2 linked regions of the Sus scrofa genome follow. The protein of the gene in region 1 purifies or fractionates together with the protein of each later gene. This does not show direct contact. Links are inferred from orthologs where the notes say so. Each region holds a gene or a part of one and is shown on either strand. Other genes may lie near its edges. The genes, in order: NGFR and NDN.

Region 1 (16,632 bases):
GTTCCACCTGGAGCCGGAGGACAGACCCAGTCTCAGGGCTAAGGGGCCACATGGGCTGTGCGGCTAAGGTATCTGTGTTCTGGGGTTGGGGGGAGGCTAGGGGCCTGGGGGAGGCAGCTGTAACCGCCCCCCCACAGTCCCCGAGGCGTTCCTTTCTCCCCACACCTGCCCCCAGCCCACGCCAGAGGGCTGAGTAGCACCCAGCGCTTGGTATACCTGGCAAGCGATCCCTGTGCACAGGACAAGCAGTGTACAAATAAATGACTTCCCAGGAATTCCGCTTTTCCCCATCTACCCTTCTAAAGCACTCCCACATGTGCGCAGGGATATGTGCAAGGATTTCCTCTGCTATTATAAAGCAATAAGACAAAAACTGAAAACAAACCAAACATCCATCAACAGGAGACCGGCTACCTCAACGCTGATCCACCCATACGATTGAGGGAGCCCTTAGAAATGATCAGATAATCTACACGTTCAGAGGAAAGCTCCCCCAAGGGAGATTAAGAGAAAAAAATAAGCCGTGGAATATGTATAGTGTGATCCCACTGCAGCTTTAAAAAAATCAAAAGAAAAAAAAAAAAAAAACCCTGCGTGTGTACATATACCTATAAAAGGTTTTACACACGTTTTTTTAGAAACGCACAGAAAATGGCTGGAAGGGATCCATTCCCAACAGATTGCAGTGAGGAGAGGGGTAGGATTTGGGGAGGTAAAAGGGGGCTTTATACTTTTTGCTTTACAAGCCGTTGGTCCTGTTTGCGTTTTCCCAAACAAGCATACCGTTACTTTGGTGACTTTTTTTTTTTTTTTTTAAGAATGGAAAATGCACTTAAATGTTTTCCACGGAGTTCTTGTCGTGGCTCAGTGGTTAATGAATCTGACTAGGAACCATGAGGTTGCGGGTTCGATCCCTGGCCTTGCTCAGTGGGTTAAGGATCCAGCGTTGCCGTGAGCTGTGGTGTAAGCTGCAGACGAGGCTTGGATCCCGCGCTGCTGTGGCTCTGGTGTAGGCCGGTGGCTACAGCTCCGATTAGACCCCCTAGCCTGGGAACCTCCACATGCCGAGGGAGCAGCCCAAGAAATGGCAAAAAGACAAAAAAAAAAAAAAAAAAACTTTCCAGGACCGTGGGAATACATGGGGTGCAGGGGGTAAGGACACAAGCAGTTGGTGAAGAAAGCTCTGTGGGGAGTTGGGGGCTGGGGTGTCAGGTAGGGGAGCAGAATGGGAGAGAGGAGGTGCTGGTGCCAGGACAGGGACGGTCCCCCCTTCCCTACCTCCAGCTGACCTGCCGCACTCAGAAGTGGGGAAGCTGGTGGTGAGTGAGGTTGACCTCAGTTTGGGGTTGACTTAAACGAGTGTGCGTAGGAGTTCCCGCTCTGGCGCAAACGGATCATTGGCATCTCTGCAACGCCAGGACACTGGTTCGATCCCTGGTGGGGCACAGTTCGTTCAAGGATCCAGCGTTGCTGTAGCTGGGATCTGATCCCTGGCCTGGGGACACCATGTGCCGCCAGGTAGCCGAAAAATAAAAATAAAAATAAAAAATTTTTTAAAAATCAAAGAGGGCATTCCTGTTGTAGCACAGCGGAATCGAATCTGACTGGTATCCACGAGGTTGTGGGTTCGATCCGTGGCCTTGCTCAGTGGGTTCAGGATCCGGCATTGCCCTGAGCTGTGATGTAGGTTGCAGATGAGGCTTGGATCTGGCATTGCTGTGGCTGTGGCATAGGCTGGCAGCTGTAGCTCCGATTAGACCCCTAGCCTGGGAACTTCCGTATGCCGTGGGTGTGGCCCTAAAAAGCAAAAAAAGAGAAAAAAAAAAATGAAAGAGTGTGTGTATTTTCAGGTCATGGTCACAGCAAAGCCCTCCTTGAGGGCAAAGATCTGGTTCCCTGGCCCCTGTTTCCCGTCTCACCTCTTGAAGGCGATGTAGGCCACCAGGCCCATGACCACGGCAGCCAGGATGGAGCAATAGACAGGGATGAGGTTGTCGGTGGTGCCTCGGGTCACCACGGGCTGGGAGCTCCCCATCACTGTGGTCACCACATCGGACACCGTGCTGGTTACAAAGTCTTGCTCTGGAGGTACCTCAGGCTCCTGGGTGCTGGGCTCTGTGCTGTCGGAGCCCTCGGCGGGTGTAGCCCGTGTCATCCAGCGGCCAGGGATCTCTGGGAGAAAAGGGCTACAGGAGTGAGGACCCGTCCCCTCAAGCCCCTCCCCTATGTTCTCACCCCTTTAGCTTCTTCCCCAGACCCTGTCTCGCCCCCAGGTATGTGCAGATCCAGCTGCTGCACACGGGGTTGAGGGCTGGGAGTGGGGGTGTGATGTCTTGATGGCAGAGAAGAGCAAAGGCCCTGAGAATCGGGAGACCCGGGTCCCCTTCAGCTCTGTCGCTGACGTGCTGTGTGACTCTGGACCAGGTCCTTCACTTCTCAGGACCTCAATTTCCCCATCTCTAGAATAGAGCTATTTTTTTTTAGGGCCACACCCATGGAATATGGAGGTTCCCAGGCTAGGGGTTGATTCGGAGGTGTAGCTGCCGGCCTACACCACAGCCACAGCAACACAGGATCCAAGCCACATCTATGACCCACACCACAGCTCAAGGCAACACCAGATTCTTAACCCACTGAGCAAGGCCAGGGGTCGAACCCTCAACCTCATAGATACTAATCAGACTCATTACCACTGAGCCACACGGGAACTTCCTCTAGGGTGGGGCTATTAAAAGAGATGGTTTTTAATCTCCCTTCCATCTCGAGTATAGCTGTGGTCCTAGAATTCTACTCTGCCTGGGTACCCAGAAGCCTGGCATGGAGGTAAACCCACAAAGAGAGTGGACCCCAGGAAGCCTCCAGGGGAATCAGGGAATCAGGCTGGGGAACGTTGTAATCTCTCTGGCCTCAGGTTGCCCCAGCAGCCCCAGTCATCCTTGTCCTAAAGGGGGGTGAAGGTGGGAATTCCCATTGTGGTTTAGCAGTCACAAACCCAGCTAGCATCCATGAGGACTCGGGTTCAATCCCTTGCCTCGCTCAGTGGGTTAAGAATCCGGCATTACCATGAGCTGTGGTGCAGATTGCAGGCATGGCTCAGATCCCATGTTGCTGTGGCTGTGGGGTAGGCTGGCAGCTGTGGCTCTGATTTGACCCTTAGGCTGGGAACCTCCATATGTCTTGGGCACAGCCCTAAAATGCAAAAAAAAAAAAAAAAAAAAAAAGAAGGAGAAGGTAATTGGGTCTGGCAGAGAGGTACCTTCCCCCTGTACCCACCCCCAAGAGCTGGCATGCTGCCTCCCTTCCGGTCTCTGGTGTCCTAGCTCTAGGCTCAGGCAGGGTGGGGAGGTGTCCAGTTGGCTGGCTTCCTTCTGGCCAGTCCGTGGATAGTGGCTACCCTCAATTTCCTGCCCCATGTGGCCCCCGAACCATCTGATCTTGCCACCGGAAGAAGACAGTGCCAGGTAGCCCAAACCCAACTTGAGAAGGACAAGAACTGTGGGAGAGAGAACCTACAGAGCCGCACTGCCTCAGGGGATGGAGACTGCCCTGTCACCCACCTAGGTTCTTTCATGCCAGCTGGGCACTGCCAGCCACCCTGGCAGGAGACCCAGCACCCCCCTGGCACAGGCGAGTGGGATTTTCCACTCTGCAACCCAGCCGGGGGCAGCACCCGGGGATGTGGGCTCTGAACGACCTGGGGGGACCTGTCTGGGCAAAGCCGCCTGCCCCATCTGTCTTCACGTCCCACGCCTGGGGCAGGGAGGGTGAGCAGACAGGACATGCCAGTGGGGTGAAGGGCGGGCACTTTGCTACCAAGCGCTGCCTCATCCAGTCCCCAATTTGCCCACCCAGGTTGGAGTCCAAGCTGCCCACCGGTTTCCCTGGCCTCCTTGGCTGAAGACAAAGATGCTTCAAAGGCCCTCATTTTCAGCACCTTCTGAGAAGTAAGGTCTCCAGATGTGAATCTGGCATCCATCTGGCTGGCGTTGGGGAGGGAGCTGCCATCTCTACCACCCTACCCCACCCCTCCGCCATCTCAGTCTGGGGAGGGAGGGCGTGGAAGAGGTGGGGCGGGGAGTGGAGGAGACTCAGCCCTCCTTTGGGGCAGCCCCAGACCAGGCGCTGGCCCGCCGAGGGTCTTCTCTGGCCCAGCTGGGGGACTGCGCCAGCTCCGGAGCCAGAGCCTCCCCAGGCTGAGGGTACAGTTCTGCTCAACCCGCCAGAACCCAGAGGCTGAAGGTATGGTGGGGGGCGGGGGGGCCGTCAGGGAATCCGGCGTCACAGAGATTGGAGAGAAGTGGGAAAGAGCTGAGAGAGGGCGGAGGATGGACCAGGCTGAAGACAGCGCCTTCCAAGGTGCTTTCCCCACATCTCTCCAATCTATACCCCCCGCCCCCCCTTGGGAGGGAAGCAGGGGATGAGATCCAGATGTGGCCATGTCCACTAGCATTCCAACCCACCAAGCCCTCGGCAGGTCCTGACAGCCATTTCCGGAATGGGAGCTGTCAGGCGTGGGGGTGGAAGGAGGGACCAGGTTACCTTTCCTAAACCCAACTTTCTTTGGTTGGTGGTGGTGGTAGGGGGGTGTGTTTCTGCCCCCAGGGTGGGTGAGTCACCATGTTGACACCTGAAATGAATGCGCAAGGAAGTACCCTGCACTGGGGCAGAGGCGGGGGCAACCAAAGCAGGAATCAAATTCCAGTTCCAGAAACGTTCCCTCTGCCCTAGAGCTGACATTGACCCCTTCAGAGGCTAGAACCGGGGGTGGGGGTGGGGAACAGAGATAAATGCCCCCCTTCAGGGTGGCTGGGAAAGCCCACTCCCCAAAAGCAGAACCCCCCCCCTCCCCCAGCCACCACCTTCCTTTGCTCTAACTGAGCCCCTGCCTGCCCACCTGCCAGCTGGTCAGGACTTGCCCGCAGACCGGTGCTGCCCGCCTGCCCGCCTGCAGGCTGCTGAAACTCCCTCCCTGCTCTGCTCTGTGCCTGATGCTACTTGCCTGTCTCCTGGCCCAGGGCAATTGCCACCGGAACCCCCTTGTTCTCTTCCCCCCCGCCCCTGCTCCTCCACCCTGACCCCACATCTGAATACAGGAAGAAGCTTCTCACACATACCTGGCTTCAGCCCAGCTTAATAGCCTTCTCCACCCTGAGGTCCCTGTGCAAGGGGGGGGATCACAGGATGTGGAAGGAAGGCATGGGTGTGTCAGACTAGAGGCTCCCCGGGCAGGCTTCTATCACTCCCTTGCGACTCGGGGCTGACTGGGGCAGGGGGGCAATGCAGCCTCCGCCAGAATGAAGGATCTCCCAGGAACTAAGTGCTGGGACCGCCTCTCCCTCATCAGACTCGGGCAAAGGCCGTCTGTGTCCTGTCCAACTCAGGGCTCCTTGGTGGAGGCTCGGTGCCGCCTGCTCAGAGTGAGGGCACCACCCTGAGGGTTGGGTCCCCAGGGGAAAGAGCGAAATGTGTGCCCAGCCATGGGGTGATTGACAGAAAGCAAAGGCCCTGTCAGTCTCTCCCCCAAGATGGATGTCCCCAACCAGAGACCAAAACAGTTCTGTCCTGGCTGCCACAGGGTGTCCTCCTCCCACCCCAGGAACTGCCCCCATCTGGCGAAGGTGGGCACCCTCAGCTCCCATCCACCCCGGTGTGGGGGGAGTGGGGGGAGGCAAAGGGCCGTCTGTGTGCACCTGTCTCGTCCTCTGGCTCCCGAGCCCCAGGCCTGCTGCTTCCTTTCTTTCTCTGTCCCCAAGCTCCTATCCCCACAACCACTTAGTGTGTGTTCCCGGGGTCCAACTTCATCCTTGACTCAACTGTACCAGTGACTGCTGACCCCTCTCCCACCAGGGGAAGGGAGCCAGCCCCCTTCCCTAACCCACAGCAACCCTGGAAACCCGATGACCAGTAAGGAGACAGGTCCAGAGGCAGGAGTGACTTCCTTGACTTCAAGCAGATAGTAAGGGACAGGGTGGATTCTATCCCAGGTCCCAGAACCATAAACCACTAAGCGCCCAACCCCCAGGACCCTCGGGCCCCTCCTCCAGTTCAGAGAGTCGGCCTCAAGGATCAAACATGTCCTATCTGTGCCTCTGCACACAGAGGCCACCTCTGGGCTGCTTAACTGTCACCCCTCCAATCCCCAGTCAGTAGCCACAGATTAATAAAGCCTTGGAAAAGGAGTGGGGCCTGGGAGGAGGCGCATGGCTTTCCAACCACTTAGCCCAAAGGCGGAAATAGTGGACGGGGTCCCTTGGTGGGAAGGCTTGGGAGGATGCCCGCTGGCTCGAGGCCACAGGGCTGTCCTGCCGGCCAGGACCCAGCCTGCCTGCCCCAGGTCCGCTCCGCGCACACTCACCCTCGCACTCCGCGTCGGCCCAGCGCGTGCACTCGCGAAGCTGGCGCTCGGTGTCCTCGCACACCGTGCAGGGCAGGCACGGGTCCACGTGGTTGGCCTCGTCGGAGTACGTGCCGTCGGGGCACTCCTCGCACACGGTGTTCTGCTTATCCTGGCACGAGAACACCAGCCCCGAGCCCGCCTCGCACACGCGACACGCCTCGCAGCGGCCGGTCGTCTCGTCCTGGTAGTAGCCGTAGGCGCAGCGGCACACGGCGTCGTCCGCCTCCACGCAGGGCGCTGACATGCTCTGCAGCCCCACGCACTCGGTGCACGGCTTACACGGCTCGGTGGCGCTCACCACGTCCGAGAAGGTCACGCCTGAGGACAGATGGACGCGCGGGGAAGTTGCGCCCCAGTTTAGTTTCCTCTCCTTGGGGGCACGTAGGATGCAGAGGCTGGAAGCCTTCCTGCCCCATCCCCGGCCAGGGCCAGGGCTCTGACCCCCTCGTTTCGCCCCGCTCCCCCCATTTTGACTCCCACCCCCTCCCCTGGGGTCAAAGCTGGTGGCAGGAGCCTGGGAAGGAGGAAGGGAGCCGAGAGCCCCCAGCTCCAGACCCCGGAAGCTCTGGCCCTGGGGTTTCCCAGGGGTAACCCAGCCACTGCTGGTACATTTTTTGGACAAACTCTTTTAAAGAGTTCCCAGCGTGATTAAGGAATAATCTGAGCATGGTTCCCATCCAGCCCTCCCTGCAGGCCAGAGTTGAGCTGTGAACCCAGCCCAGGCACAGCCGGCCTTCCCCAGGGAGCCTCCTTCCATCCCTTTCGGCACAGGTGGGAGCAGGTGTGTCCTGAATGGGAGTGACTAGGGTTAGACAACAGAATTTCCCACCCACGGCGCTGCTACTCCTGGCTGCTAGAAGGGCTTGGCTCTTGAGGGCAGGGATGGACTCCTGGCACGAAAGCTACAGCAGGAGGGATCCGGGCTAGAAAGAAAAAGGACTTGCACATATAGTCCAGCGCCCTTTCAAATGGCACGAGGGAAATATTTTCAAGCTCATGCTTGACTCACGCTCAATTAAGGGGCGGGAGCTCCAGAATCAGGGCATGGATGTGCTGGGGATGCCAGAGTCCTTGCATCCTCGTGCAAAGAGGCAGGAAGGCACAGAGCCAGAACGTCACCCCTTCCAGCCCAAGGTGGAGAAATTGACGCCAGACTGAATCCAAGAGGCTGGAAGAGCACAGGTTTAGAACCTGACAACTGGGGTAGGAGGACTGCCCAGAAGGCGGAAGCAGGGGTAGAGATATTAGGAGCCCACTGGAGGGAAACTGAAGCTTGCTGGGGGCAGGGGGGTCCTAAATCTTAAGCTTCTCTAAAGGCATCAAGAGCCAAGATGGAGCGCAGGGTCATTATTTTGGCGGCTGAGGGTGGGGCTGGAGAAGCAAAGAAGAGAAAAGCATCTCTGCTTTTCACTTCTCTTGAAATGAAAGGGACAGTAGCTTAAGGGGGACGGGGGTGGGGAAGAGATTTGGAAGAAAAGACAGATGGGCCTGGAGGGAGACTTTGGTGTCACATCAGTTCTGGCAGAGGGACCCCTGTGTTTCTCTTCCTAGGCTTCTGGCAGACTTGGATTCAAAACCTGCTTCCATCACTTTATTTAGCTGTGTGACTCTGGGTGTTTTACTTAACCTCTCTGAGCTTTTCTTCTTTCTCTATAAAACGGGGAGTAAAGTCTTCACTCCCTGTTGTGGTGAGGAATAAGTGAAATTCCACTGTAAAGTACTTGACCCCCAGCAGGGGTCCTGTAAAGGTTGGGCTTCCCCAGGGTGGGCAATGAACTTCAGTAGCAGGGCTATTAGTCAGACAGCAGAAAGAACGCCCAAACCTAAATGGCCAAGGCAGGATGTCCAGTTTATACAAGAGGCTCCTATCTGGTTGGCAAGTGGCACGGGGGTGGGTCTAGTCACAGGGGAAGGGAAGGGGAGCTTCCTGGCCATGGGAACATACAGAAAATTAGCAGCCAACTCCTGGGGAGAGAGTTTTAGGAGGTGGGGAAAATGTGGTCTTTTTTGGCAGAGAATGAAGGCAGGAGCTTAATGGGTTTCCTTGTGGAAACGTTTTGAGGATAGAGGGAAAGTCCACTGGGGTCTCGGTCTCATAAAGTGGGCTTGTAAAGGCAGCTCGTTAACACAGCTGGGGCGGGGGATGGGGAAGAAGGGGGGCAGAGGGAGGAAACGGGAGGGAAAATTCCGAGCTGGTCTCTGGTCCTGTCTTCCCTCCCCTTCCCTCTCTCAGCCTCTTCTATCCCACCCCTTACTTCAGACAGAAAGGTTTGCGGTCCCATCCTAGGCGACTTAGGACCCAAGGAGAGGCGGTCCTGGGGTAGGAACTGAGAGAGGCAAATACCAGAGGTCGCAGGGCAGCTGATGGTTGGCCAGCCCTGCACTGGGATGGAAACTCTGCATGGCCAGAGCCAGCAGTGGTGGCCAGAGGGCAAGGTAGCAAAGGCATTGCAGGATGACCAGCCTCCTCACCTGGCCCCAGGCATCCCTCTGCTGGGGGATGAGTTATAGGATCCACAAGCACAGAAATAGGAAAACTGTATGGTCGGGACATCAAGGAGTTGGGGTTGCCTGAAGAAGAGAGAGCGTGTGTGCCTTGCGATGTTGGTGGTGGGCTGGCTCCAAAGGTTAAAGACAGGCTGGTGGGTGTGTTCAGAGTCCCCAGTTCCTGTAACCTTGTTCCCAGCATGATTAAAGAACAGTCTGAGTAGAATTCCCACTGGTCCTGCAGATGGGCATTGAGTAGCCAGTTAGAAGGCAGGATCTGACAATCAACAGTGAGGAGACGTTTCCAGGCAGACCTGCCATCTTTCTGCCTCCCTCATCCAGCAGCGCTGGAAGACTCCTCTTCCCAAGGAAATCCCAGATAGGAATGGCCACAGCGCCCCTCCCCCATCCTGACCTCAACCCCCCTGTAAAGACATCCTTGTAGGGCGCCAGCCTCCATCCCCGCTGATGGGGAAAGCTCTGCTTCCTCGGTCAGGGCTGGAGAACAGTTGGCCTGGGGGGAGGTGTAGCCACACCCTCCCAGGATCCCCCAAGGTCAGTCTCCAGGACAGCCAGGATTTGATCTTCCTCCCCTCCCCACAAACACGCGGAGGGTAAGTGGCAGCCATTGATTTTGCAGTGCAGCGGATATTTTTAGCTGGTCTTAGCATCAGCTACTCCTCCCACCTGGCCAGAACACTCTTCTACAAGGCTTCTCTGCTAGGGGTCTCTGGAAGGGGCGCCCCCCCACCCCAGGGATTCCCCCCTCAGGTCCCCCTCCTCCCTCTGCATGCTTCTTTCATCCATTCGGAGCTTCCCCTCTCTGCCTCCTATCCTGCGGCAGACTCACTCCTGGTGCCCAAGCAGTGATGGGCAGGAGTCCCTGCCAGGACTCGGAGTGTGCCCTCCACCCCCTTCCCCACGCTGGTCATCTATACTCACTGTCCAGGCAGGGCTCACACACGGTCTGGTTGGCTCCGCAAGGCTGGGCCACGCCTTCACCCAGGTTGCAGGCTTTGCAGCACTCGCCGCTGTGAGTGTACATGCCTGTGGGACAGGTCTCCTTGGCACCTCCAAGGGACACCTGAGTGGGGGAAGGTCAGAAGATCAGACTGGCAAGAGATGGAGGAGGGGTGGATTCCGACGGAGCAAACATCCCCTTCTAAAGCCTTCTATTGGAACCACCTGGGCCCGGATGAGCTCACCAGGGAGGCATTTGGCACTTGAAAGCTGGTGGGGAAGAAAGGCCACGGGGGACAGTGCACCCCTGCAGGCTGCTGGGAGTGTGAGGTCAGAGCCTTGGATGCTGACTTTCTGCAAAGTTCATCTTGGGGTTACAGCAGCTCCTAGAATCCCAAGGATACATCATGGGGGGAAGGCAACCTGAGGTCCAGCAGAGAGACTTGGAGCAGCTGAAGCGGCAGGCAGGTTGCAGCTTGCATAGGACTCCCAGCCAAGGAGGTGACTAGAAACTGAAATCTAGCCCAAATGCCACCTGCTAAGCTGCACACCTGCAAGGATGCGTGTACCCAAAGAGGAGTCTTTTTCTAACAAAGGGCAGCCGGGCTCCGGGTCCTTAATTCTACCATTCCACATATTAAGTATGAAATGGGAGGGGTCTGTACCCAAGAACAGAGGTGGGACCTTGGGTTCAAATTTTGGCTCTGCTCTGAGAGTTCTGACCTGCCCTGCTTTCCCTCTCTGATTCTGCATCTCTCTGGACAGAGAGAGAGAGAGAGAGAGAGGGAGTCACCTTAGGGCCAAAGCAAAAGAGCAGCCAATCATCAAGAGTCTGGCGCCAAGACGGGAGAAAAGGCTGCCTGTTATCAATGATGAGAAAGTGGCAGCTCTCACCATCCAGCAGCCCTGCTCCACCAGGGTCTGATTTCCAGCCACCAGCCCGCCCCTCTCCCTGCCCCCCAGGCAGCCAGTGGGACCTGCATTGGAAACAGGGGAGAGGGGAGTCAGATTCCTGCCGCTGAAGCATCTTTGCTCATGGATGGAATGATTTAGCACCAGATTCCCTAGAGGGAGGGGCTGCTGCCAGCTTGCTTTGTATTTCTGTTCCTTTAAAAAAAAAAAAAAAAAAAAAAAACTTAATATCTAATAAAATTCCAAAGCCTGTTTCCCTGGCTCCAGACCATGCAGCCCTCATTTGATGCTCAGAGGAAACAGGGGCTTTTGGATCATGGGACTAGAGGGGCGCTGTCCAGGTCATTTGGGACATTCCCCTGCTGCTTCCATGTTGGCCCAAAACATGTCTTTCCCTCCAGTCCTTTCAAATATCCTGAGGTCTCAGCAGGGTTTGATGGAGGTAGGGGGATGGCCAGGTTGGATCAGTTGAGGAGGCAGCCACTAGTTCTCAAGAGCCCAATGGGGAGGGTGCAGGCAGCCTAGGAGGGGAACCGTGGGTGCTGCCACCGTCTTCTCCCAGGTGGCAGGGACGGGGTGCTGGGAACATCTGCAGACCAGAAGCCCGGTGGGGGTGGGGTGGGGGGGTGTAGTCCCCGACACGAGGTTTCCCCCAGGAGGTGAGCAAGACTCCAGATTCCAGAAGGGTCTGTTCAGATTTCTTTTCATCCTTCAGGACTCTGCTTAAATGTCACTTCATCAGGGAAGTGGTCCCGTGGTCCCAAGCCTTCCTGGATCAGGCGGAGCCACCTTGTCCCTTGTCCTCCCTGTTCGGTCTTCCTGTCTGGTCTGAGTCTCTGCAGACACCCCCATGGGACTGTCAGCTCCCTGAGAGCAGGGACTGTGCTGGCCTCAGTGCCTGAGACAGAACCTGGCACATATTAGGGACCCAACGTGTATATTTCTGGAATTTAAGACAGTGAGACAATATGGCCTCGATTAATGAGAACTCCAGGGACCAACTCTCTCCGTAGAGAGCTGAGATTCTGGAAGGTCAAGGATTTGCTGCTCTTCTCATCTAATGGTTTTCACTTTTAACTATGGGCGCTTCCCCTTCCTCTGTCTCTGAAACACACTTTCACCGTTTCCCTATGACTCAGGGGCTCAATAGTTACACGAGCGATTTTTCTGGGCGGCGATGCAGTGATGCCCTATGTTCTTTATCACAAATGACCACACTTTTGTCTCTTGGAGTTCTCCTGTCAGCTTTTCTTACCATTTTTCTGTCTCCTCCTTTCCTGTCAAGGTATCAGTTGTCAACTCTCGCTGCTCCCAGTGTGACCGGAGCAGCCCCTCCCCCATTCTAATGTATTAGGTCTAATTGAATCTTTAGAAAGTACGTAACTAGCCCTGGTGGGAAGATGTATAAAGGGAATGAAAGCAGGATCTGAACCAAAAGGGGGGGCCCTTCTCAGAGTAAAAAGTGTGAGTTCTCCTGCCTTCATCATTGCGCTGAATCCTTGCTCATGGCTTAGAGTGAGGTGACCTGGGACGGGTTTGGAATTTCTCTGCGCCTCAGTTTCTTCCTCATTAGGTAATTATGACAGGACCTGCCTCAGAAGGTGGCTGTAAGCATTATGTAAATGAGTAAGCTGTGTATTTACTTTGAGACCCCTCCTTTCTCTTTTGCAAGGTCTTTCTGGCATTCTTTTGGCTTTGGGCTGAGTTCCCGTTAATTGGGGTCAGTAGAGACCTGGGCCCGGGATAGTGGAAGGGTCTGTCGTGGCAGTGGGCGGAGTGGCAGCCCCGTGCCCCGCCCTCCTGTCAAAGCCCACTGGTGGTCCTCTCTCTTCTCCCAAGTCTTTCATTTGGAGTCAAGGCTACATAATTAGTAACCATGTGTTTCCTGTGCTTGTTTTGTGTTCTAGTTCAAAACATTCCAGATCTGCTACTGAATAAGCATGTTGCTTTGGGTAAATTCTCTATCTCTGTTAAGCCTCAGTTTTCCCAACTAAAACACTGGGTTGGTGATATCTACTGCCCAGGGTGGCTGTGAAAAGTAAATGTAATTTATGCAAATCTGTCTGGTGCACAGTAAGAGTTTAATAAATGTTACATTTATTTATTTATTTGTTTTTTAGAGGGCTGCACCCTCAGCATATGGAGGTTCCCAGACTAGGGGTCCAATCGGAGCTACAGATGCTGGCCTACGCCACAGCCACACCAGATCCGAGCCGCATCTGCGACCTATACCACAGCTCACGGCAATGCCGGATCCTTAACCCACTGAGCGAGGCCAGGGATCAAACCTACAACCTCATGGTTCCTAGTCAGATTCATTTCCTCTGCGCCAGGATGGAAACTTTAAATGTTACTAATTAAAGAAGTGTCTTGTCTTAAGGACAAGCTGAACTGCTAAGCCTGGGCAGGGGATGGGGGTGGGGTGGGGGGAAGAGAGTAGGTAGCAGGAAGGGAGAGGTTTTTATTTTTATTTTTTTATTTTTTGTCTTTTTGCCTTTTCTTGAGCTGCTCCCGCAGCATACGGAAGTTCCCGGGCTAGGGGTCTAATCGGATCCGAGCTGCATCTGCAACTACACCACAGCTCACGGCAACGCCGGATCCTTAATGCCCTGAGCAAGGCCAGGGATCGAACCCACAACCTCATGGTTCCTAGTTGGATTCGTTAACCACTGCGCCACAATGGGAACTCCAGGGAGGGGAGAGTTTAGCCATCCCCAAAGAGGGAAAACCATCTCAGAGCAGGGGGCAAGATAGGAGTGAAGACAGACACCCACCAAGAAGAGTCTGAAGGAGGATGGGGACCAAAGGAGGATGGGGACCTGCTCTGTTCAAAGTTAATTAAGTCAGCAGCTATTTCCTAAGCATTGGACTGAGTTTCCAATGACTGAGTCACTTTGCTGTACAGTAGAAATTGGCAGAACATTGTAAATCAACTATCATTTTAAAATACTTGGAGTTCCCGTCGAGGCGCAGTGCTTAATGAATCCGAATAGGAACCATGAGGTTGCGGGTTCCATCCCTGCCCTTGTTCAGTGGGTTAAGGATCCGGCATTGCCATGAGCTGTGGTGTAGGTTGCAGATGTGGCTCAGATCCTGCGTTGCTGTGGCTCTGGCGTAAGCCAGTGGCTACAGCTCCAATTAGACCCCTAGCCTGGGAACCTCCATGTGCCACGGGAGTGGCCCTGGAAGAGGCAAAAAGACATAAATAAATAAATAAAATACTTTTTTAAAAAAAGGAACTAAGAGTGTCTCTTAAGACATGGTCCCTGACTCCTGGAAGGAGTTATGGTCCCACGATGGAGAGAAAATATCACCCCAAAGAGTTGCTCCAGAAGCTGAGGAGGAAAGACTTGAGGGATTGCCGTCATGGGACAGAGGTGGAAACTGAGGCCCACAGAGGTCATGCTGCTCACCGGCCTGATGCACCACCCGGCCACACTCCCTCTGGGTTCAAGGCCCAGCAATCTTGGGAAGGAGGGAGGGATGGCGAGGATTCAGGCTAATGGCTCCAAACGATGGATTTGCCAAAATGACAGACACATTTGCTTGAAATTTACATTTATTACACTTACTCATTTCCATGTCTGATGGAATGATTTCGTTCCATTTTTGAGAATGTTTGCAAATCTTTTCCTTTTTTTTTTTTTTGTTCTTTTTGCCATTTCCAGGCTTTCAAGAAATTAAGGTGGAAACACCCTTACGTGAATGGACTTTTAAGATTTAATTTTTCAAAACTGGACCCAATAGAGAATACGCCGAAATAGTTGAAAGAATCTGAAACTACAGGCAGGCTTCAGTGTGGTGAGTCCTAAGCATTCACAGCAGCTTCAGCAAAGGGTTCCTTAAGTGAATGGAGCCATTGGCCACTGTCACGGGGTTGGAGAGTTTTCAAACATGGGAAGGGTCTTTGAGACCAATGCAAACCCTGGGGAGGCACATGCCCCCTCAACCCTTTAGACAGGGGTGGAGTTTGGGGTCAAAGACAAGAGCGAATTACTGAGGAGGATGTTGCAGTAATAATTTGAAAGGGGGCGGGCTGGGAGAGAGGGGCTCAGCTATAACTTTGTGGTGCCAAGAGCACCGGACACGATCTAATGTGTAATTCAAGGCCACGTGTCCTTCCGTGATCTGGAAGGTTGGGGGAGGGGCCGGTGCCTGGCATAAGGAGGACAGAGTAAACTCCAAGCCAGGCACCCTAGGTTCCAACAAGGGCGCCACCATCTACTAAACTGGGAGAGCCTGATTTCGCGTCTGAAGGTCCGGGAGGTTCAGCTCTCTCAGCTGTAAATGGGAATAACTAGATTGACTCGGCTGGGACCTTATAAGGATTAAATAACATAAGAGAAATTACTCAGGGCCATGCATGGCACGCAGTAGGCACTCAATCAATTTTATTATTCCCGCCTCCCCGCCCCGCACCCCCAGGGAAGAATCTAGGCGCGTGCACGGGACCTGGCTGGTACAGCGGCGTGGGAACACCTTCCCTTCCGAGGCGCCTCCCCCACCCGGCCCCGCTCGCGTGCTCGCATTTGCTGCCGTCGCTGCATCCCTATTATGCGCATTAGCCAGTCCAGCGGCTCCGGTTACAGACGTCTGAATGACAAAGTGCCTCCATTACCGGCGCGGCTCGCCAGCCGACCCGCCGGGACGCGCTCTGGTTTCAGCACTCTCTCGCCGCGGCCCAGGAAGAAACTCGGACCGCTGCGGTGCACAGAGCCAGCCCCGAGACAGCAGCCCCGCGGCAAGGCGGAGGCGAGAGTCCCAGGGGCTGCAGGCGGCAGATTCCGAGCGGGGTCCACCTTTCCGAGCCCCCAGGCCCTCCACGCGCAGCTCCCCTCCTGTCTCGCCTTTTCCCTCCTCGGCGGACACCCTCCAGCCCAGATCCGGAGCCCACGCCCTCGCCTCTCCGGGATCCGCACTACAGTCCCCCCCACCCCCCTTCCCGCTCCCTTCCTCCCCGGCTGAGAAGCATCTTTAACCCGTGACGTTAGTCAGCAAACGTGCCCGCAGTCACTCCCACATGCCCGGACGAAGCCACAGGTACTAGCATCCCAGAGAACTGGGGCTGAGCTTCGAGGATAGGGCCAGCACCCGGAGAGGCTCTCTGCCCATCCCAGCCCCCAATATTCCGTCGGCCGGACTCTGTCACGCCGACCCGCCGCCGCCGAGCCACGCAGCTCTTAACCCAAGCTGGGACGCCGGGCAGCCCCTTTTAAGAGGTACGGGGAGTACCGGGCTGGGAATCAGGTGAGGGGCAGGCTAGCTAAGAATTCTGGCTCTACTTGCTTGTGGGATCTTGAGCAATTGGCTTCAACTCTCAGAGCCTCTGTCTGTAAAGCTGGGATTTGGAGATGCGAGGCTCCGATGAGAGATGAAGATGGCAGGGAGAGTGAGGACACCTCCTCCATTGCCAAACCTCTCAGGGCACTCGGTTCATGGCCACACACCAGGTCACATCTCCTGAATGTCTCGGCAGAACTTCCGGGCGGACTTTGACGCTCACGAGGACCCACGGTCCTTTTCCGGGACAGAATCCCAGGCGTACAAGCACCCCCGTTTTGTTCCTTGCCCGGTGTCTTTCACCCAAGGCTGGGCGGGGCGCGGAAACAGAGCGAACCACCAGCGCGACGCTCGGGCTGCTTAACTTAACTGGAGGTCGGGGTGGCGGTGCGGCGCTTAGCCACAGTCGCGCGGGTAGCTGCGACGGCTCAGCCCTCGCGCCACAGCGCCCCCTGCGGGCCGCCTTCGCCTGCGCGCTACCCCGACCTTCCCCGCCTTGCGCGTCCCGCCTCTCTGCACCCCAAGAAGTGGCGGCGACCAGAACCCGTCGGACGACGCCTAGCTCTGTCCCATCCTGTCCTCCGCTCTGCTTCAAA
Region 2 (16,093 bases), on another chromosome or scaffold:
TTTTGAGACCAGCTTACTGAGGGTCAATATGATTATACTGTACCAGACACCGAGGAGTTAGGAGAAATACTAACAGTTTACATCTAACAGCCATTACCTGTTCACTGTCTCTGAACATGAAAGAACCCATATGTTTCCTGGTAAAACCCCAGAGTACTCTGAAATTTTGAAATCATATTTTTATTCACCCCTCCCAAAGGCTCACCTTTTGGAAAGAAAACATTTTGCTAGGATTCTTTCTTCTATTGATTGCTTCCAAGCATCATGGTTGTGTCTCTCCTTCGCAAACTAATGAAATACCTAGAAGGAATATCAATTTTCTTAACAGATGACCAGCCCCTGTGGTAGCCTGGAAAATAGCCTCCCCAAAAATATTCACGTCCTAATCTTTGGGACATGTGAATGCCAGTGTCCTTGCATATTAAGCTAAAGATCTAGAGATGAGATCATACTAGATTTACATTGATCTCTCAAACTAATGACTAATGTCTTTAAAGAAGACAGGAGAGGGAATTCCAGTTGTGGCTCATCAGGTTAAGAACCTGACTAGTATCCATGAATCTGTGGGTTTGATCCTTGGCCTTGCCCAGTGGGTTATGTATCTGATGTTGCCACAAGCTAGAGTGTAGGTTGCAGATGTAACTTGGATCTGGCATTGCTGTGCTGTGGCCAGCAGTTGCAGCTCCTATTCAACCTATGGCCTGGGAACTTCCATATGCCACATGTGTGGCTCTAAAAAGAAGACAGGAGAATAAGCAATGAGATCCTACTGTATAGCACTGGGAACTATATCCAGTATCTTAGGATAGACCATGATGGATGCATGATTATATGAAACATGAATATATTTGAAGTATATGAAAAGGAGTATATATGAAAAGGATATATATATATATATAGATAGATAGATAGATAGATAGATAGATATAGATATAGATATAGATATGACTGGGTCAATTTTCTGTATGGTAGAAATTGGCATAACCTTGTAAACAAACTATCCTTTAATAAAAAAAAATGTGTAAAAAAATTAAGATTAAAAAAAATAAAAAAGACAGGAGAAAGGATCAAAGACTCATGTGGAAGTCATCCATGTGAGGACCCAGCTAAAGGTGTAAGTAGAGATCGGAGTTACTCTACACAAACCAAGGAATGCCAGGAGCCACCAGAAGCTGGGAGAAGTGAGGAAGGATTCTCCCCTGAAGCTTCAATGGGATTTTGGCCATGGCAATATCTTTATTTCATATTTCTGCTCTCAGAACCAAGAGGGGGTAAACTTGTGTTGTTTTACACAACACAGTTTGAAGTCATTTGTTACAGCAGTCCTAGGAGATGGATACTGGGGAAATTTTAATTTCAGAAGATGTACTGATTTCTATGAGGATGATAAACTGTAGGTAAATAAATAAACAAGTGAAAAGATGCAGTAGAAGTAGACTATGGCAATCCAGGTGAGTAAGACCAGTGGATAACTGCAGTGACCTATTGCAAGGGTCGTAGTAGCATTTGGGAGATGAGAATTGTGGGATTAACTGGATGTGAGGATAATCAATGACATTCTCATTTCTTTCTGGGAAACTAGGGGGACCGTCATGATATGTACTGGGAGGGAAGGTACAATACAGGCAACACAAAGATTGAGAGAGGCTGCTGACCAAGTGCAGTAGATTGTTGAATTTAAAATTCAAAGTTAAAATATTAAGATGCTCATTAGGCAGTTGAATATCCAGTTACAGACCACAGAAGAGACATCTAGGGTAAAGAATTAAGCCTGGGATTCATCAGTGTATAGATACTACTTTCCATGTCTAGGAGATGGTGCTTACCAGGGAGAACATAGGGTGAGAACATAAGAGGACATAAGGCAGGACTATGAGAACCCTCGACTTTTAGGGGACATTCAAGTTGTCAGCTGCCCCAAGAGTTACATGTGGAGGACTGTGTATATGGAGAATTGAGGACTCTCTGGAAGAGTATCTATGTCCTGGGTGGGGTGTGGGCCTATGTTCCCGGTATAGGTGAAGAAGCCAAGTGCAGGCTTAGTAGATAAATTGATCATTAAAAGGATAATAGGATATACAAATACCAGTACAGACATAAAATTGACAACTTATAGGAAATACACCAACTCCTTAAAAAAACCACAAATCACCAAAATTCACCCAGCATGAAAAAGATAATCTGATAGGTCTACAACCAACTGAAAAAAAAAAAAAAACTGAATTGGTAGCTACAAACTATCTGCAAAAGAAATTTCTAGGTACTGATGGTTCCACTGAAAAAATTCTACCAAATATCTTAAAAAGAAATAACAAACAATTCTGTACATTTCCTTCAATGAAGTGGAAGAGTGGGGAACATATTCCAAGTCACTTTAGGAGGCTCTAATGTCCTGATATCAAAACCAGATAAAGGCAGAGTTCCCATTGTGACTCAGTAGGTTAAGAAAACGGCATAGTGTCTGATGATGCGGGTTTGATCCCTGGCTTCACTCAGTGGGCTAGGGATCCTGCATTATTGCAAGCTGCAGTGTGGGTCACAGATGTGGCTCGGATCCAGGATTGCCATGGCTGTGGAGTAGGCATGCAGTTGTAGCTCCAATTCGACCCCTATCCAGGAACTTCGATGAAAAGAAAAAAAAATAATAAAGGCAATGCAAAAAGAGTCAGACCAATATCCCCGAGGAACCCACACATAAGAATCTTCAACAAAATATCATAGGATCAATTCAGCCATGTGTAAAAAGAACTATACACCACAGTACCCAGGGTCTGCTTGAACAGCATTTATCTTCAAGAAGATGTTGAAGACAATGTAATTTATTTTAACATGTCCCAGAAACAGGTCCAGTGAGGAAAGTCATATGATCTTCTGGAAAGAGGCTGATGTGACCTGACCCTCTTGGTCAGTTCTGCCTTTCCTCACTCCTATTTGCAATTTTCAGTGGTTATCAACTAGGGGCTAGACTGCCCATAGAAGGGCTTTTGGCAGGGCAGTGGGAAGGTGTCATCTTTTTCTTTTTGTACACTTTTCTATTTTTCCCATGCCTGGAAGGGATTCATATGTGTGTTGACAGGGACAGAGGTGTTCAGATGTCAGTGCCTGTGTGGTGCATTATAGTCTCACACAGTGAAAATCTCGCTCCTTTTAAAGAACCCTGCTCTAGACACTCTCTCATGGTGATGCTATTGACTGTGTTTATCTCTCAAACTTCTATTGTTGGCCCAGGCCGCTTTCCTGAGGCTTACATATCCAGATACCTGCTAGACATGTCCACGCTCCCTTCTCAGATCCTTCTCTAGGAATAATCTCAGGAAGTGGTGCCCCCCTATCCAAACTCCACAACACTGCTCAATCCCAACTGACCAGATTTGGTGCTCCCTGATGTCCACAGTCTCCCTTCCTTTTTCTTGTTATTTACATCCCTGCTAAACATCGGTTCTTCTGTTCTATTCTTGGCAACCACATTGTGGCTTCATCCAAGATATGTATGGCAACGTAGTGCATAATGATTATTTAATTACTCACTTGTTTGTTTGCTTATGGCTCCTTTTCTCCACCATTTCTCCTCACTTTGAGGGCAGAGACCACAACTCTCCTCATTTTTTTCTCCAGGCATAATGCTGAAGATGTAGCATTTAAAGGAAGAGATAGTATGAGAAAAATACTCATATATATATATATGTATACTCATATATATATATAAATACTCATATATATATATGAGTTTGAGACTAGGTCACTATTCTGTACAGCAGAAATTGGCACAATGCTGTAAATCTACTACACTATAATAAAAAATATTTTTAAAAGTTGGCTAATGAAGGTGAAATGCAAGCAATCATCCAATTTAAGTGGATTCCTGTGAAAAGTCTCCTCATTGGTCTCTCTGCCTTTCCTTGACTACCTGCCTCCAACTCCAGACTTAACTCTGATTCCAGTTGACTTTTCTCAAAGACACTCTTGACACTATTATCCTTGAGCACTGGCATAGCTGTACTGTGGGAGTCTGAACAGATCTGGAAGGGTTCCCATTTCAGGAATTTCCTTGGACCTCAGTGGACAGGCATGCACATTGTCCCACTAGGGAGAATGGAGGGGATAAGGGGCCAGGGTTGAGTCCCCTCCTTCACCTCCCCAATTGCAGACAGCAGAACTGCCTGTCCTCACTTCTTACTCTCTTCTAACAAAAAGGGGCCAGCCTGCCAAACTGTCCCAATATGATAGGTTTCCCCCTCAGACTGAGTTACTTTTCTAAAATGCAAATCTTTCAGGTACGTGATAGACATTGCTCAATATTTGCTGAACCCATGAATGTGAGTTCTCTGTCTCAATTCCTTGGCCTGAAAGGCATTTGGGGCCCCTCTGGGGGCTCCAAGGTGGAGGTTGCTGCCTATGTGGACAGGAAAGAGCCAGAAGGATTCACATTTCATTTGGGGCCTCTGGGCTTCTGCACTGTGAGCATGCGCACCGTCCACTGGAGGCCCCGGGGGGACCCCCCCCTCCTCTGTTCACTATGGAAACCAGTGCCAGGACAGGCCTCTCCTCCTATCCCTGAGTCTGCCAAGAACAGCCTATTCCACAGCTGTGTAATCTGTTCCACATTTCAGAGTTTGAAGTAACCCACCAGCAAAATTGTCTGCACCAGAATATTTTAGGTTATAACTTCTCCATATACTTACTGCATCCACAGAACTTCTCTTTACAGAATCTTGATTGAAAGCATAGCCCTTCTGAGTTTCCTTTTTTTTGGGGGGGGGATACTGTGTAACCTTCAGTCTTTTGCGTTTAAGCTGCTGGTCTTGAGAGGACTCATCACCCACACTCAATAAGGCCAATTCTGGAGATGCCCTGTGAGCCTAATTTAGACCCTGTGCTGGCAGGACATCACTGCAGCTCCAGACCCAAATCTTGACCATTGAATCAAAGAGGTTGTGGATAACTCTTGAGTACTGACAATTTCCATCTGCCCTTTTGTCTTATTGTTCTTAAGGTCTGCATCTCTACTTTATGGGGAGGCACCTTATTAGGAGCTACTATCAAGCTATCAAGCTATTGACTTCTCCCATGGCACATGTGCAGGTGCACTTTCTCTACTTAAAGGTTACCTCAAGCTTTACTTTTTTTTTTCCACCCACCCCCCTCCCTCCGTGGATTTACTTCTTGGTGGGAAATAAATGGAGCCTCTTCAACAGAACTTTTCCTGGAAGAAAATGATATCATGCTAGCAGGTGGACAATGGGGCTAGAAGAGTGAACAGCACAAGCGGTCTACCTTGTACTTGGATTCAAATTCAACATCTGTTCCAATGCTTTAAAACCTCGGTATGATCCCTCACAGTGGTCCCAGACCGCAGGCTCTGGTATAGTATTAAACAATCTTCTTGTCAGGAGAGAGGTGTGGAGTGAGCTGTTGTAGGACCAGTCCAGCTCAGGTAGCAACTGGAACACACTGAAATTCTCTGGCCAGAGCTCTGCTGTTTCTGCAGCAGTTGCTCTTATAATATTAAAATTGGTGTGCTTTTACAATTGTTTTTATAATTGCCTTCACACTTTTTTATACATAAGTGTTCATTTCTGTGCTCAAGCTTGTGATTTAATTTCATGAATCCATTAAATCTAGGAGGGTGAAATAGGAGGATGTAATTGTAATAACCTCACAATGGCACGAATTATGGCCGATGGCCAAAGCTGAGCTGAGATTTGAATAATAGGCTCAGACATTTTCATTTTAAAAAATACCTTAAATGAACGAAATCATTATCCCAGTTAGAAAGGAATAAATACCCAAGTGAAATAAAAAGAAGAAAATTAGTGGAAATAAAAGGCAAGAAATGAGGATGATTTTTAAGAAGAAAGAAGTAATTGAAAGATTTGAACCATTCTTATTAATAAAAAATCTTATATAACTGACACAACCATGCAAGATATATTTTAAAAATAGAAATCTATAAATTAAAGAAGAAGAAATGATGAACAGGAAAAAATCCAGCTGAGACATATCTGATCTGTAGGAATTATCCTTGTCAAGCGAGAGGTTAAGAAGTGCTATTGGAGGGACTGGTGTGAGAATGGTCCTGCTCAAAGTGATACAAGTATGAAAAATAAAGATAGAAAAATAGTATGGAAAAGAAAAAAAAAAGAGTGAGAAATGAAAAAGAAGATACAAGAAAAAAAAAAGAGAGGATTGTAGAAATGTAAAGTCAATATTGTAAACACACCTTGGGTTTCAAGTGACAATAACCAGACTCAAGAGGGCACATTTAAGAAGCTGTTAGCTTGGAGTTCCTGCTATGGTACAGTGGGTTAATGATTCGACTTGTTTCTGTGGATGTGTTGGTTCAATCCCATCCCGGCAGGGTGTAGTGGGTTAAGAATTCAGTGTTGCTGAAGCCATGGTATAGGTTGTAGCTCCTGGACAGATTTGATTCCTGGCCCAGAAACTTCCCTATGCCAAGGGGACAGCCAAAAAAGGGGAAAAAAAAAAAAAAAAAAAAAACAAGACGCTGTTGGCTTGAGGAAATTCAGTAAGGTCTGAAATACCATATTGGCTCAGACCAGGGATGCTGATCAGCCTGAGAAACCTTGGATCCATAGGTTCCTACACCCATCCTTCTCTGGGAGTGTCAGCTTTGTTTTTGCCCACTGCATATCCATGTTCTAAAAGTGAAAAACAACCACCAGTACATTGCATCTCATATTGTTGGTCACCTGAGACTGTCTGCCATATACAATCTAGGGAACTTGTGTTAATTAACTAATTGGTTAGTTAGACAAATAAAAAAGTCTTAGGAGGGATTTGGGTGTGGCTGTCAATTTCTGGAACCAGTCAGTTTGTGTGAAAGCGCAGAGGTGGGGTCTACACGAACACACCCGTGAAGGCTACATCAGTCATAAGGGGAATTAGGGTCCTTCCTGGACAAACAAGTAGAAAGACATCATACTAGTCTGTGCTAATAAATACAGCAATCTTTGTGTGATGAGATCCTAATCAAAAAATTAAAATTACATCAAAATTACCCAAGGGAAGTAGAAAAACCAAAATCAATGACCATTCAAGCACCTAACAGTATCATTAGTACATTGTCTTCAAGAAAGTTTCAGTTGTACATGTATTGACTACATTCTGCATTTTTCCTTCATAACCCCCTGGACTTGGCAGTCAGGAAATCTTTTTTTTTTTTTTTTTTTTTTTTTTTTTTTCCCCATAGCAGGCTACGGGTAGAATTGGAGCTACGGCTGCCAGCTGACACTACAGCCACAGCAACACTGGATCCAAGCCCTGTCTGCAACCTACACCATAGTTCATGTCAACATCAGATCCTTAACCTACTGAGCAAGGGCAGGATTGAACCTGCATCCTCATGGATACTAGTCAGATTCCTTTCCGCTGTATCACAATGGGAACTCGCAGTGAATCAATCAATTTTTATTGCTATCTTTCATGATTCTGATATCCCGCATCTTTTTCAGAGTTGACACATTTTCTTGGGTGACCCTGATTGTTCTGTCAGTTTAAATTCTCACACTTGTTATCCAAAACCCAAGCTTATGTGCCAACCTGGGCCTTTCTCTGAAACTCACATCTAACTTGATTCTACATATACCCAATTGAACATTTCCTAAGAAATTCAGCTTCAGCATCTTGGAAGCTTAAGTTTCCATCTTTCCTCTTAAACTTGCTCCTTGTCCAGTGCTCACCCATGTCGCTCCTCCCCCCGGCCCCAGGACCGCCTCCTTAGCCCAAACTGGACGACTGTGGGTCATGAGGCCAGTATTCCACTAGGCCCCCTACCCCTTTGGGACCTCAATACACCCCAGCCCTCCAGGCGCCCCGCCCCTACCGCCAGCCGGCAGGGCCCCCACAGACCACGGATGCGCAGGCGCACTAGCCTGTCCCGCCGCCGCCCCGCCCCGCCCGGCCGCTGCGGAAGGCGCCGCGCGCAGCAACGCGCACTTCCTCTCCAGGAGTCCACCGAGGGAGCGCAGAGTCGAAGAGCTCCTGGACGCAGCGGCCGAGCCCTTGCCAGACGGAGCAAACATGTCCGAACAAAGTAAGGACGTGTGTGACCCCAACTTTGCAGCCGATGCCTCCCACTCCGAGGTGCACAGCAGCCCTGGGGTGGCCGGGGGGCCCTCTCCGCCTGCGTCCCAGGCCGCGACCCTCGCAGGGCCAGAGATCCCTCCTGTAGGCCCACCCGACGCCCCTCTGGCCTCGCCGCCGCCCCAGGCCCTGAGCGAAGAGGGAGACCCAAAGGCTCTACAGCAGGCCGCGGAGGAAGGCCGCGCCCACCAGGCCCGGAGCACAGCCCAGCCCAGCCCAGCGCCGCCGGCCCCGGCCCAGCTGGTGCAGAAGGCACATGAGCTCATGTGGTACGTGCTGGTCAAGGACCAGAAAAGGATGATCATCTGGTTCCCAGACATGGTGAAAGATGTCATCGGCAGTTACAAGAAGTGGTGCAGAAGCATCCTGAGGCGCACCAGCCTCATCCTCGCCCGAGTGTTCGGGCTGCACCTGAGGCTGACCAGCCTGCACACCATGGAGTTCTCGCTGGTCAAAGCTCTGGCGCCTGAGGAGCTGGACAGGGTTGCTCTGAGCAACCGCATGCCTATGACAGGCCTCCTGCTGATGATCCTGAGCCTCATCTACGTAAAGGGTCGCGGTGCCCGTGAGAGTGCTGTGTGGAACGTGCTGCGCATCCTGGGGCTGAGGCCCTGGAAGAAGCACTCCACCTTTGGAGATGTGAGAAAGCTTATCACTGAGGAGTTCGTACAGCAGAACTACCTGAAGTACCAGCGCGTCCCCCACGTCGAGCCCCCTGAGTATGAGTTCTTCTGGGGCTCCCGTGCCAGCCGTGAAATCACCAAGATGCAAATCATGGAGTTCCTGGCCAGGGTCTTTAAGAAAGACCCCCAGGCCTGGCCTTCCCGCTACAGGGAAGCTCTGGAAGAGGCCAGAGCCCTGCGGGAGGCCAACCCCACTGCCCACTGCCCCCGCAACAGTGTCTCCGAGGACTAGCAAGGTCTGGAGGCAGATTGATGGTTTCTGACCCTCACCAGGGTGGTGGAGGGGTGGGGGTGGGACATTAGAGTATTCAGGATTTACAGTGCAGTATTTCACGTGTAACTTTTACGTTTTCAGTACAGTGCTTTTATACCTTTTAATGCAATGTTGTATTCATTTCAGTAATAATTAGGTAGTGTGTAGGATTCATGCATGTTTGTTTATAAGTAAGCTCAGTTGGTGCTTTCGCTTTTGTGCTACCTTTCTTGAATTTTTTGTACCAGAGACGTGCTAAACTTATGAAATACATTGAGACATTTTCCATCTTATTCTTTTACATGGGACTGATGATGTGTATGGGGGTAGACAGGTACTAGAGAGTTTGGACGAACTCACCAGTAAAGCTGGTCTAACCAAGAGAAAAGTCAAGACCTCTCTCTCTGTGATCTTGCTGGGCACAGGAAACATCTGTCTGGAGTGTGGTGATGTGGACTTAAAGGGGCTCAGTATGGACACTTGGCACAGTTTACTAAACACAAAAACAACCCCACCATGAGTAAACTTTAAACATTAAAGATTCTTGTGATACAGTCATTTTTATGGAAAAGTGTACTTTTATCTTTTTAACAAAGTAGTATGGGTTGGGAATGAGATATTTTACACAATGTACAGATATATTTCATCTCATAGGGTGGGGAAATCGTGACTCATATGTGTGAGGTGTATAGTTTTTTTTTTTGCAAAATGTAACTCACATGTTCATTTCAAAAATTTGACAAAGAGAAAAGTATGAAAAACAGAAAAGTTCATAGTCACATCACATAGAAATAGTAACTGTTCATATTTAGTTTCTTGCATTTTCTACATTTTATTAAAATTAATAGCTGTCTTTTGTGGGTAGAGTGAGGCATTGTACTAAACTTTTTACATGCATTTTTCTCTTTTAATTTAATCCTCACAACAGCCTTATGAGGCAAGCTCTTATTACATCTGCACCATGGAGGAAATACAGGAACAAAGCAGGTAATTAAATTTCCCTGGATCATAAAGGTTTAGTGATAGAAGGGGCTATGATTTGGACCCAGGCTGAATGAGTCCAGAGCCTGCCTACAACTGACCACCTACCTCCTGCCTTTTAGTTTATGCCTTTTAGAAATTTCATGTTCGAGTCTGTACTTTTAGGTCCCTGCCCCTAGCACAAACACACACATGCACATACACACACAAGGCTATCAACTTTATTTTGTAATGAGCCATCACATTAATCTTGTTGAGAAAGCAGTCATATTCTAATTAAGAAACTTCATTTCAGAGAGATTAATTGAGCCGGCTAAGTTATGTTCCTGCTTAGCTGTGAAGCCAAGATTTGAAACTTGGTCTTCTCGGAAGGACCAGAATGAAGGAGTCTTCCCAGACCAGTGGTACTGGAGGAACATGCGTGGGAAACCTGGGAGAGGACGGTGGGGTTGAGATGAGAAGGTGGCAACCCAGCAGCTCTGGCATTGCACTGGGCCACTAAGCAACCCCTCAGAGGATGGGATGGGATGGGGGAGGAGCAGTGCCTGGGGATAAATCTCATATTAAAGTTCTCAGTCCTGCAAGGGGGAGGGAGAGAAAATGGCCTTTAATACGACCAGAAATCCTTCAAACTTCAGAAGATTGAAAAAGAGGATGTGGCCAAAGAAAGACCCTTATCTGGAGAAGATGGAAAATGAGGGGAACACATAGTTCACGATACCCCAGAAGAAGCAACCTGAGAGTTATGTTGGGTGAGGGGATTATAATCTGAATTGAGAACTAGGATTCCCAGCATTTAATGACATTACTTAATAAGTGAGTGCGGGTGCTAAAAAAGCTGAAGAAGCCTCAGATGTGCAGAGATGAAATCCCTCCCTTTCAGAAGACATCCTGTGGGGTCTCTCATGAAGGGTAGGGGGTATTTCTACAGTGACTCAGGCAAAGATGCCCTGGCTTGGATGCCATCTCTCACCCTGAGCCAAGATGAATTCAGACATTACAGAACTGTTAAAAAAAAATTCCTTCTCACCTCAAAATTTCCTGCAGAATCAAAACAAATCTGCCCCATTAAATATAAAATTAGGAATTCCCTGGTGGCCTAATGGTTAAGGATTGGCATTGTTACTGCTGTGGCTTGGGTTGGATCCCTGGCCTACAAAATTCCACATGTCATGGGTGTGGCCAAAAAAATTTATATATATATATATATATATGTAAAATTACAGGGCTCTCTGAGTTGTCTCATTTCTGGAGCAGGACCAGACACAGCTCTCACCCCTTCCAAGGTAGGCTGATGGACACTTTCTCTAAGGCCCTAATGCTCCTTGCAGCAATCATAACTTCTGTACACTTCTTTCATCAAACCCAGAAGTCACCAGGTAGGCAGTCCCCTCACCTCCCCAAGTTTGTATTTATGTTCCTCTCTGCCAGAGAAACCAGGAGAACCACTCCAAAGCTGCCTTAAGCTCCCTGACACAGGAATATCAACCATGCCACAGAAAACCTAATCTTGAGAGGACAGGATAGTAAGAAGTGAAGAGCTGACCCCAGCAAGTTATGTGGGCAGGGCCGCTGAGCTCTGGCTTGGACACAGCCAGACGCAGAGGAGGAGGCTTCCCAAATATGGAACAGAGTTAATTCATGACACCCAGGACAGCTTGTTAATTCATGACTTTAATTTGTGACATGCTGGACAGCACCTTGGGGCACAGGGAAGAGTCAGTATCTCTCTTAGACTTTCATGATGGGCTCAATTGAAAGGTTAGAAGGTTGGTCAAATATTTTTTAAAAGGTTAATCTACAAGGTGCTGGGGGTGGTCATTCAGGGAGGGGTCTCCAGACCCTCGATGTTTCGGCTGAGATCACAGCATGGTGAAGCCTGGACTGCTGAGGCTGGGAAAGAGTTCCTAATCCCCATGACATATGACATTTTATCAGTCTATCTTGCCAACTAGAAATTCACTTCTTTACAAACACCCACACGTGTATTTCACTGTAATTAACTTCATTTAATTAAAGTTATGGAGAGCAAAAAGGATCTTTGTAAACTTAGTATAAAATATAATGCCACCTCATATATTCTGAGGGGAAAATTAATTACTTCTGTAGTATCATTAGTAAATAGGAAAGGCATATTTTAAATGAACTTCTAATGCAGTTATTTCCTCCGCTTGAAAAGTCATCTTTGAAGAGATAAATTTGGGGGTTGGGGTTGACATATGCACACTGCTGTATATTAAATAGATAGGTAACAAGAACCTACTCTGTAGCACATGGTAACCCACTCAATACTGTGTAATAAGCTATATGGGAAAAGAATCTGAAAAGGAACAGCTATGTGTATATGTGTAACTGATTCATTATGCTATTCACCTGAAACTAACACAATTTTCTAAGTCAAATCTACTCCAGTAAAGTTACTTAAAAAAAAAAACAGAAAAACTAAATAATAACTAATAATACAGATTTTCAAAAAAGAAAAGAAGGAGTTCCCATCATGGCTCAGCGGAAACAAATCCAACTAGGAACCAAAAGGTTGGGGGTTCCATCCCTGGCCTCACTCAGTGAGTTTTGGATCTCGCATTGCCGTGAGCTGTGGTGTAGGTCACAGACTGGGCTCGGATCTGGCATTGCTGTGGCTCTGGTGTAGGCCAGCAGCTATAGCTAGCTCGGATTAGACCCCTAGCCTGGGAACTTCCGTATGCTGTAGTTGCCACCCTAAAAAGACAAAAGACAAAGAAAAGAAAATAATATCTGGCCCCCTCCACTTGAATTTCATCTGACCAACACATGAACACCTCTTGTGTTGGAATATGCTATCTGGTCTTCAAAGCACAGTTGTGTGTGGTAAGACAACATTGTAAAGAAACTACTATTCAGCAAAAAATAAAAATAAAGCACCGTTGTATTTTCCTACTATTCCCTCCAGTGGCATCCTAAAGTGTTCACTCAGCATACACATGTTTTTAATAAATGAGTTAAGTTTGTCTTTCTCTTCCTGGGTTGCTAGATAAAGGAAAAACCTGTACCTGTCATTTTCACTATTTTCTTGATGCCTAACTTAGAGAGTAGCATATGTATGTGGTTGATAAGTACTGGTTATGTGAGTTAAGAAACTAAAAATATTATAATAGACTTGCCCTGGAGTTCCCTGGTGGCTTATCAGTTAAGGGCTCAGCATTGTAACTGATATAGCATGAGTTCAATCTCTGGCCTGGGAATTTAGGCATCGTGTGGGTGCAGACAAATAAAAATAAATAAATAAATAAATAACCTATTCTACCACATAGCAAAAACAAAACCAAGCATAACTAATAATGATCAACCACTCTAAAGTACTGGAGGTGCAGTACTTTTCCCTCATGGCTCAGAGGATTAAGGATCCAGAATTGTCACTGCAGTGGCTCAGGTTGTCACTGTGGCACAGTTTTAATCCCTGGCCTGGGAACTTGCAAATGCCTCAGTTTTGGCCAAAAGAAAAAGTAGAGGACCAGATGAAATTAATGAAATTTAAATGTACAGAAAAATAAAAAAAGAAAAATAATATCAATAGGTTTTTATTATTTATTGAAGTTTAATTGACATTTAAATTGTATTGGTTTTAGGTGTGCAGAATAATTACTTGATATATGGATATACAGTGAAATGAATACCAGAATAAATTTAGTCAACATCCGTCATCACACACCATTAACAACATTTTTCTTATGGTGAGAACTTTTAAGATCTACTCTCTTTGCAATTTTCAAAAATACAATATAGTTTTGTTAAGTGTAGTCATCATGCTGTACATTACATACCCAGGACTGATGTATATCAACTGGAAATTTGTACCTTTTGACCACCCTAACCTATCTCGCTCATCATCCAACCCCTAACTTGGCTACTACTAGTCTGTTGTCTGTATCTGTGAGTTCTATTAGTTTGCTTATTTGTTTTAGATTCCACTAAGAAGTGACATCATATAGTATTTGTCTTTCCATGTCTGACTTATTTCACTTAGCATCATGCCCTCAACTTTTATCTATGCTGTCACAAATGTCAGGATTTCCATTTTTATGGCTGACTAATATTCCATAGTATATATAACCACATTTTCTTTATCCGTTTTTTGGCTGTGGATGTTTGGATTATTTCCATGTCTTGGCTATTGTAAAATAATGGCACAATTAACATGGGGTTATAGATATCTATTTGAGATAGTAATTGATTTTCTTTCAGATAAATGCCCCAAAGTGGAAATGTTGGATCATATAGCAGTTCCACTTTTAATTTTTTGAGCAACCTCCGTACTGTTTTCCACAGTGGCTGAATCAATTCACATTCCCACCAATAGTGCACAATGGTTCCTTTTTCTCTACATCCTCCCCAAGTCTTAGTATTTCATGTATTTTTGATGACAGCCATTTGATTCTAACAGGTGTAAATTTTGTTTGTTTGTTTTTAAGGAGAAAGGGGAAATAATATTTTCTTACAAGGTAAAGAAGCCAAGGACACACCAGGTCCATGCCCTAAATTTGACAAAAATAGCAAGTGAAAAAAAAGGAAAAAAAATCAAACCACAGATTATTGTCAAGATACTTTATGTGTGCTAACTGATCAAATATGTGATAAAGCCAATATCCTGCATAACTTGACTTTCTAATACCCTGCTAGAGCTATATGAATAACTACTATTGACCTTTGAACAACTAACTGGAGGAGGGTACATTAGGGCATTAGGGATACTGACCCAGCCACTGTCTGTCAGAGATAAATTTATAATTTACCTCTTATACATTCCCCAGTTTTCCATCCACACATTTAACCAAACGCAGACCCATCTATTGAAAAAACTTCTGCCTATAAGTGGATTCATGCAGTTCAAATCTCTGTTGTTCAAGTCAACTGTACCTGCTTTCTTATTTTATGTAGTAACTTGTAATGTGTATTGAGCACCTATATGTTGCATTTGCAGTGTTAGGAATTAGGGATGCAATCGTGACAGACTAGGCATTGTCCTGTGCTCACAGACCCTGCAGTGCATTGAAAGAAGCAGATGAGTAATAAGAATCACACTGCAGTGCAACAAGTGCCACTCCAAGAGAAGTATGGAGGCTAAAGAGGCTCAAACTGGGCCATCAAACTTGGACTTTCCAAGAGGGGTGACATACATCTATACCGTGAAAAGGAATTAGCAATATGAAAGGGGTTTAGGAAGGGTGGACAAGGGCAGATTTTCAAGGAGGAACTGCTGTGTGAATACATACACAAGACTGCGAGACTGTGAAGTTTCCATAAACCTAGAAGATGGGAAATAAATTTCAGAATGGTCTAGAGGCTAAAATTTTGGAAAAAGGGAAGGAAATAACATGCTGAATATGCAGTCATTGCCCTGAAGATGTGAGTAATTTTAACCATACAACAGCCCAACAGCCTTAGAAGGAATAGTGCTGAAAAGATGGAATTCTTGTGAGTAAGCATCTTCCCTTTTTTTTTTCCTGATTGCTATTCAAGGGTCTAAAACATCCCTCTTTATCTATCAATTTCCCCCCTAATTCTTTGTTTCACTTACTAAGTGATTTGGAGTCCTTAACTATATTATGCATTTTCCAATGTGTAAAGGACTTCATGTGTCCCCTTCTTATCAACCTGTGTGTGTATGTGTGTGTGTGTGTGTAACAATTTAAACTGTATATAAGCATTGTGCTGGGTTTTGAGTATACATTCGCGAATTAGACAAAAACAGCTCCTGGCCTCAAGGAGTTTACTGAGAATCCCAGAAAGTGGATAGAGCACAATAAAAGGTAAACAAACAAATGAAAAATTAAATACAAATTACACATTTGGATAGATAATGAAAGAAATGAATTGACTAAAATGGTAAAAATGGTAGAGGAGATCAGCTCAGAAAAGCTACTCAGGGAGTTCCTGCTGTAGTGCAACTAGATCAGCAACATCTCTGGAGCATTGGGACACAAGTTTGATTCCCATCTTAGCACAGTGGGTTAAGGATCTGACAGTAGGTCACAACTGAGACTCAAATCTGATCCCTGGCCCAGGAATGCCATATGCCCTGGGCCCACCAAAAAAA

Evidence for each region.
Region 2: the proteins of NGFR (region 1) and NDN purify together in Homo sapiens (affinity purification with western blotting; 3 studies listed by BioGRID). This does not show direct contact. The link is inferred for Sus scrofa from reciprocal best matches to the Homo sapiens genes NGFR and NDN.

The regions. Positions count from the first base shown.
Region 1 is NC_010454.4:25,700,570-25,717,201, reverse strand, and holds part of NGFR (tumor necrosis factor receptor superfamily member 16), read right to left. Parts: intron 9,969-16,632; coding exon 9,827-9,968; intron 6,716-9,826; coding exon 6,356-6,715; intron 2,173-6,355; coding exon 1,920-2,172; intron 8-1,919; coding exon 1-7. UniProt on the Homo sapiens protein: Low affinity receptor which can bind to NGF, BDNF, NTF3, and NTF4. Forms a heterodimeric receptor with SORCS2 that binds the precursor forms of NGF, BDNF and NTF3 with high affinity, and has much lower affinity for mature NGF and BDNF.
Region 2 is NC_010443.5:142,404,648-142,420,740, forward strand, and holds NDN (necdin), read left to right. Parts: upstream 1-8,040; coding exon 8,041-9,018; downstream 9,019-16,093. UniProt on the Homo sapiens protein: Growth suppressor that facilitates the entry of the cell into cell cycle arrest.